Linked DNA regions of Rattus norvegicus. The protein of the gene in region 1 purifies or fractionates together with the protein of each later gene. This does not show direct contact. Links are inferred from orthologs where the notes say so. Each region holds a gene or a part of one and is shown on either strand. Other genes may lie near its edges. The genes, in order: Casp9 and Dcc.

Region 1 (3,919 bases):
CCTGTGTCCTCTAAGCAGGAGATGAAGCGAGGAAGGGCCTGCCTCCCTCGAGTCTCAAGATCTATGACCAGCTGCCTGGCCTGATCCCGCCGAGACCCAGAGCCTGCCCGCTGTTTGGATAGAAAACCAGACACTCATTATCCAGTGACATCTACAGTCACCCTACCTCCCGCTTCTCACCTAGCCTCTACCTTGTGAGTGCCGGGACTGCAGGTATGTACCACCACCCCTGGAACAAGTCTCTCCTTTCAAACAGTCTGCCATTCCCAATACTAGGTCCGACACTGCTCTGACCACACTTAGCTGGAGAAGGACAGAGGCTGCTGGTGCCTCCCCGCGCAGTTTGGCTTTTGATCCCCCTTAATATGCCTGTGGTAGATAGACAGAAACTAATCTAGCAGTGTACTGAGTTCATGTCCCTCTGCAGTCTTTGCTTGTCAATGACACCTACTGTGTGTTTGTCCAGCTCTGTGCTAAGTGCTAATTAGCCCTACTAAAAGTAGCAAAATGGTGGTCAGTAGTTTGGACGAGGTACTTCAAACTTTCTAAACTTGTTCCTAACATTAAAATAAGAGAATTAAATGTAGAATTCAAGATCTCCAACATCTCTGTTTTTGGAGGAAAAGAAGTTTCTGTTGGGGGGGGGGGACTTTCATATTTGTGTGGGGGAAGGAAAAGTTCTCAAGTAGCCAAGATTGGCCTTCAAGTTCCTTCATAGCTGAGGATGACCTTTGAACTTCTGCCTCTCCTGACTCCAGAGTCACCAGGCCTGGTTTTATAGGGCTAGGGGTTAGACTCAGGGATTCACGAATACTAGACATGCACTGTACCAAATAAACTGTATGTCTAGCTTCTTGCTTTGGTTTTGCTTTTAAACATTTACTATGTATGTATGTATGTAGGTAGGTAGGTAGGTATATGTGTGTGTATCTAGATGTATATGTGCCAACTGTGTGTGCCTGGTGCCCAAGGAGGCCAGAAGAGTGTGTCAGATCCCAGGGACTACAGTTATAGTTGTGAGCCACCATGTGGGTGCTGAAAACTGAAATCAAAGCTCTTAACAACTGAGGCAGCTCTCCAGCCCTTGGTTTTGGTTTCCAGAGACTCGATCTCAAACTCTGTATGTAGCCAAGGATCCCCTCCAACACCTGATCCTCCTGCCTCTACCTCCTGAGGGCTGGGATTCCAGAGGAACAAACCATTCCTTTCAAACAGCCTGCCACTGCCAACACTAGGTCGGACACTGCTCTGACCACACTTAGCTGGAGAAGGAAATACGACAGAGGCCGCTGGTGCCTCCCTGCACAGTTCGGCTTCTGATCCTCCTTAATATGCCTTCTGGAAGACTAGGGCTTTCCCTTCAAACCACTTTCCTTGGCCAGCATGGGCCCCTCCGAAAGTGTTCCTGAGACTACTTTTGTTATTATCTGGTAGTTAACCCCATGACTCTACACCACTTTCTTCTATTTTCCTTCACTAGACCAGACTAGGTTCCAATCCAGATGCTGGAGACAGCTTTCTAGACAGTTCCCCAGGGCCTGACACTCATATCCTCTCAAAAAGAAATATTCCCTTTTCAGACTTGCAGTGAGGCATCAACTGGAGCAAAGAAGCTCAAATGTATTTTTTTTAAAAATCAAATGTTTGATTGTATTCTTCGGTGGTACCTGTATCAATGTCCGTCTTTTCTGAAATCCTTTATAAAGCATGCACTTGGATAAAAGCCCAGCTAAAAAAAAAGACATGGGTCCTGGGGCTGTGGCCCCACAGAAGTGCTTCACCTTGGTTATCTCATTCATCCTAGAACAGGATGACACCGTTGCATTTCACAGCCCAGGAAACTGAGGCTCAAAGACGGCAAGTGACAAGTACAATGAGCCAGTATAAACCTAAAGTGGGTGTTTAGGACCCTTCTACAGAGAGGCTAAACTACTAACAAGGTGTGGGTTACAGTGGCATTAGCGAGCACTCCACAAAAGAGGTGCTTGGGTTCTTCTGAAGGATTAAAAGAGCTGGATTGTGGAAGGTTTTAAAAATGGAGTTCCCACACCATGGTTTCCCAGGGCCTGGGTTGCACACCGTGCAAAGCGGGAGAAAAGGGCGGGAGCTCCGTAGCGGTGGCTTCAGTGAACCTCTCTGCGACCTCCCAGTCCCTACCGGCGCCGTGGGAAAAGCGGCGGACACAAGGGAGCGGGGGAGCACCTGAATATCCTCGATCATGTCGCGCGTGAAGAGCTCACGACTCAGCAGAGCGTCCCACAGCTCCGCGACTTGCAGTTCGCGCACAAGGCGTACCCTGCATCGCCGCAGGAGTTGCCGGTCAGCCTCCTCCATGGCTAGCGGATTGCTGGACCCCTGGTTCCGTCCGCTTCCGGGCCTCGGGTCCCGCCCCGGCACCCACGCCCCGCCCCCACATAGCTCCTCTAGGGATCACGCTCCGACCAGTGGTCACCGCCCCAAGGCCGGTCCCTCAAGCTCACTCGGCTCCACCTCCGCAGCCACCTCAGCTCCGAAGGCCCCGTCACCGCTTCACCAGTCCTCCCACCTCTCTCACTCCCCCCACGTCCCCCCTTCCCCCCACCCCCACCCCCCGCGCTCTCAGGCCACGCCCCTTCGCCACGCCCCAAGATGTCCTTGCTTCGTTCCGCCTGCTGGCGCTGCACGCAAGCCCCGCCCCGTCACACGCCTCATATAAGACTCGCTCTTCCTTGCCTCATAGACCAGCACTCCGGCCCTATGGAGTTCCTTCGCTCCGCCCCGTGGCCCGCCCCCTTCTCTGCTTTTGCCTTTGTCCCCGCCTCCAGGACCCGCCCCCATCTTGCTATTCCAACTCTCTCCTAGTCCGGCACTCAGGCCTCACCCCACCTCTTTCCCTGCAGCGCTCTCTCCTCACGCCCCTCCCTCGCCCAGCTCTCGCCCGCCTCTAACAGCGGCCAAACGTAACGTTGCTCCGCCCCCCATGCGACCCACGTGACTTTCCATGCGGCCTTCTCCTCCCACACTCTCCCCCAGGGCGCCCCTAGGGTTCCAAACCCCAGGTTTGCCTTGCTACCTTCCGCCCATTTGCTGGTTCCGCTTAGCAGCGATTGTTCTAACAAAGTTCACTGGTGACCCTATTTCTACAGATGCTCAAAGGGTCGCGAGAGGAAAAGGAAGAAACCATGTCTAGACGTCTTTCAAGTCCTTTGCGGGCTGTGGCTTTCTTCTAACGCCCTCCTCCGTTGCGGCTAGTAAAACCTCGCCTCCTGCTTTTTCAGGCTATCCTGCCTCAGCAAACTAAGCCCACAGACTTCCATCTCGCTCTCTTCTCTTTCCCTCCTCAGCACCTCCCACATAGAAACTGCCAGGAATCTAGTCCTCTGTTCTCTCAGTTTTGTACCACTCATTTCCACGACTTAAAAAGTAACTGAACAAGGCTGGAGAGATGGTTCAGTGGTTAAGAGCACTGGCTGCTCTTCCAGAGGTCCTGAATTCATATCCCAGCAACCACATGGTGGCTCACAGCCATCTATAATGGAAGGTGATTCCCTCTTTTGGTGTGCATGAAGATTCCTATATACATTAAGTAAATAAATCATTTTTAAAAAATAATTGAGCATCGTGCTAGCCACTTACGGTGTTGTCCCAGCTAGCCATGTTATTATCCCTGACATATTCCCGATAATAGTTATTCCTTGCTGACAGCTGTGGACATGTGTTAGGGATCTCACAGCTTGACCCCCAACAGAGGCATCTGAGATTCAAACCCGAACTGGGATAGACCCTTAGCCAAGAATCCACCATGGAATATGTCAAAAGATGATATTACACTCGCTTCCCGATTTTAGCATCAGGCAACGCTTCTTTCCATTAGATAGGATGCACATTCGGATGAGCAGCTGAGGTGAATTTACAAACAGGAAGTCTGGGGAGAGCCCAA
Region 2 (3,819 bases), on another chromosome or scaffold:
GACAAAACAACAAAGCAAACACTTTGAGGGAGTCAAAGCAGAAGAGGGACAATGTATGACATGACGTTTACACTGTACCTGAGTATACGCAAGAGCTATGTTTTGTTTTTGCTTTTTGGTTTTTTGGTTTTGTTTTTATTTTTCTTACCCAGACAAAGCTGACTTTTACCTTTTAGTGGTAACTGGTTTATTGACTGCTAATGCTTTAAAAATAAGATCAGATCAGGACTATGGTCTTTATTGCAAGGAAGATATATGGCCCTTGTGAATTCTAGTGGTTTGGCAATCGTAACCCTAGCAGACATAACATTGATGTATTCTGTGTTGCTGAACAGCATGGCAAGTATTTAAAATGCTGTGAAGAGCCTTATTGCACCGAAATGATACAATCTAATATTAGACTGCACCTCAATGACTACATCCCTGAGCCTACACTTCCACAGAATACTAAAGTCAAAGCCACTTTATTTTAATATCTCACAGGGAAGGAATTGTTCCTCACTTCACGACTGAAACAGTGAAAACATAAAACTGAACCTGGGTTGCAGGAGACACACCTTGTAACATTCAGGGCATTTTCATTAGCAGGATAGAGAAAGTTGCTTTTTGTAAGGGCATCAAGATGACAGCCGGTTTCATTCCTACCATCAGAGGGGCTTTGGCCTTTGGAGAGTTGATAGGAAATATTCACGAGTCCAGAAATATACAAGCTGCCGAAAGTCCAGGTGCATGCATATCCCTATCCCCAGATATGAAACCTTTCCGGATTTCTCAGGACTGATCCCACCTGAGCCTCTTAATTAATGACAGTTATGATTAAATTCACATCCTCCCCATGAGTTATATACATCTATGAAATTCTACAAGCTCATCCTTCACCAGGTCCAGGAAACTTACACCTTGGTCTTCATGATCAGGCTATCTTCTCACCTGTCTCTTTAGGATAGTGGTTCTCAATCTTTGGGTCGTAACCCTTTCTGGGTGGACTGACTTTTTCACAGGTGTCTCAGATCATCTATCCCACAAATTATATATTTGCAATACAATTCATAACAGTAGCAATGTTACAGTTATTAATTTTGGCGATCACCAAAACATGAGGAACTGTGTTAAAGGTTACTGTGTTAAAGGTTTGCACCAGGAGGAAGGTTGAGAAGCACTGTCTTAGGTGTCATTACTAAACAAGGCAGTATTATCCTCCAGTATGATGGACAAAGTTTTGTCTGACTGCTGAAAGGTTTTCAAGAATATGGGACTTACAAATGTCTAACCCAGGTCATTCTGTGGCAAATCCGAATGACTAGCCATTATTCTGCTCATAGCCGATTAGCCAGCAGAACACATCAGCGGAGGGAAAATCTGAGGGAACTGGTTAGGGATGAGCCTATGTTAGTTTGCTATAGCAAAATATCATAAATTGAGTCACCTGCTTATGATAGGAATTCTTCCTCACAGTTTTAGAAGCTGCTCTTCCGAGATAAGAGAGTCAGCAGTATTTGGTTCCCTGATTGCTCCTTCCAGGGATCACCCCATTGACTTGCTATTCCCACAGGTCAGGAAGCATGTTTTAGCTCACTATATGCCCCCTTTTGGAGTCACTACCTATTCAAATGCCAGATCACAGTCACGTCATTATAGTCACTAATATAGATGAGATAAAGAAGTGATCAAGTCATTATAGGCACTAATAAGAACAATGATCTGATACCTCTCCACATGGATCTAGTACTTCCCAGGCGACCAGAAATGCTTAGAAAAACTGAAAAGTTGGGGCAGACACAGCAACAGTTTGGGTCTGAAGAACACCCTGCCCTGTTTACTTAATTTAGATATATATTTAAGGTTCATAGATGAAAGGTAAAGTGTGCACCTTATGCTTTGGCATTGAGCTGGACATGTCAATAAGGGAGCTACACTTGAAAGTACTAATGGGACATTTTTATTTCTCACTTGAGGTCTACATTACAGACTAAGACACTGATTAAAATAAAATGTACTGCTGTCAGGGCTTACAGCATTGATTTTATGAATGTTTAACACTACTGAGTCTGTAAAATAGAATTGATTAGGGTATATTTTTTTCTAAAATCTTACTAAAATATGTCCACCAGTTCATGTAAGCAGTGAGTCCATATGAGTCAGCTATGCTGTGAAAGCAGATTACATGTAGCTATGCACACTGCTGAGCTGCACCTGCCGGCTTTCCATGTTAATTGAAAAAGAAAAATTAGTTAAAAAAAAGAAGAAGACCTTGTGATACCAGTCCTTTAATCTTCATTTAGTTCACGTACAAATGGGCATTGTTGGTAGAAAACCTTATATGTGACATCATGGATGTTATTCAGAAAACTAAAAACAGATGCAGCACAAGAAGAATGTCACCAGGTTTGTTACCACCTATGGATGAAGTTAGTGAGACAAGCGGATGACTGTAACCTCATGCTTCCTGTAGGAGTAGCTACAGTGCCCATTTAGAATTATCCTTCATGGCCATCAGCAGACGTGAGATACATCAACAATGGAACTGCATCAACCCAAAGAAAGGAAGAATGCTGTTACTTTAGACAACTTGTTGAGCCTGGGACATATTATGTTAAGGAAAATAAGTTACAAAAAGAGAAATACTGCATATTTTTACTTACCCGTGGAATCTAAATTATTGAGCTCACAGAATGATAACCAGGAGAGGCTTCATGGATTAGAAGGGTGAGGTATGAATGGGGGCCGAGGGTTACAGCTGTACAGAGTATCAATTTGAAAAAATAAAACATATATATTCTAGACTGATGATTCAGCATAGTGACCATACTTATAATTGTAATGTGTTCCTTGCCATTGCTCAAAGAGTTATTTCAAATATTCTCACTACTCAAAAATGTATGCAAACTTAGCTTGATATAATTGTGAATGACCATATTTCAGCTTATAGATTGTAACTGTTGTAATTAAAAAAGTTAAGTTTCAAAATGCGCACTGCTTTTACAAGGATTATCTCTCATGCCTACTAAGGATCTAAGAGATAAAAGAAGTGGGAGAGAAGAAAATATCTACATACCTGCTACCATAACTTTTGCTGTCCGACTAATAATTGAGCCAGAGTCTCCTAAGGATGCCTCGCATTGGTAAAGTCCTTCATCCGGTTTATGGTGTCTGGAATGAAGTATGTTTTGTATCAACAGAGACCCATTAGGAAGTTGCTGCTTTCTGTCATCCATTCCCAAGGCCAGGATAAGGCCATCTTTCTTCCACTTGATGACTGGGACTCCGCGGTCAGACTCTGCAGAGCAGTTGAGCAGGACGTTTCCTCCCCGCATTGTGACAGCATCAGAAGGTTCAGACACAAAATGAAGTGACGTGAAAGGTTTAATTTGGAAACCTGGAAGGAGAGAGGAGAAGGGAGCTAAATTCATGCAGTCTGAGAAGTCGCAATTTCTACAACATTTCATCACAAGTCTTATTTTTCGAAAAGCAGTTTTGTTTTTTTTTTGTTTTGTTTTGTTTTTTCCTCTAATTATAGATAAATTTAAGAGCAGGGATTCTGTGTTAGACATAAGACAAATTCTTATGTGAACACCGATTAATGAAGCAATTAGCCACAAAAATATTACTAGGAAAGGTAACAATTCATAAGCTATAGATAAGAATATTATTACATCATTCATTACTTGAAAAATTTAGACAGCCGTAATTAGTATTTGCCACATAAAACTGGAAGATTTTAAGTCTGACCAGTCAATAGTGTGATAGCTAAGATATCATGGACTTGATTAAGCTCATTATCTGCATTTTAGTATAGTATTTATTAGTACACTGATTGAT

What was found.
Region 2: the proteins of Casp9 (region 1) and Dcc purify together in Homo sapiens (co-immunoprecipitation; 3 studies listed by BioGRID and IntAct, with this or other methods). This does not show direct contact. The link is inferred for Rattus norvegicus from reciprocal best matches to the Homo sapiens genes CASP9 and DCC.

What each region holds. Positions count from the first base shown.
Region 1 is NC_086023.1:159,390,529-159,394,447, reverse strand, and holds the start of Casp9 (caspase-9), read right to left. Parts: upstream 2,375-3,919; 5' UTR 2,335-2,374; coding exon 2,203-2,334; intron 111-2,202; coding exon 1-110. UniProt on the Homo sapiens protein: Involved in the activation cascade of caspases responsible for apoptosis execution. Binding of caspase-9 to Apaf-1 leads to activation of the protease which then cleaves and activates effector caspases caspase-3 (CASP3) or caspase-7 (CASP7).
Region 2 is NC_086036.1:67,845,381-67,849,199, forward strand, and holds part of Dcc (netrin receptor DCC precursor), read right to left. Parts: intron 3,377-3,819; coding exon 3,056-3,376; intron 1-3,055. UniProt on the Homo sapiens protein: Receptor for netrin required for axon guidance. Mediates axon attraction of neuronal growth cones in the developing nervous system upon ligand binding. Its association with UNC5 proteins may trigger signaling for axon repulsion.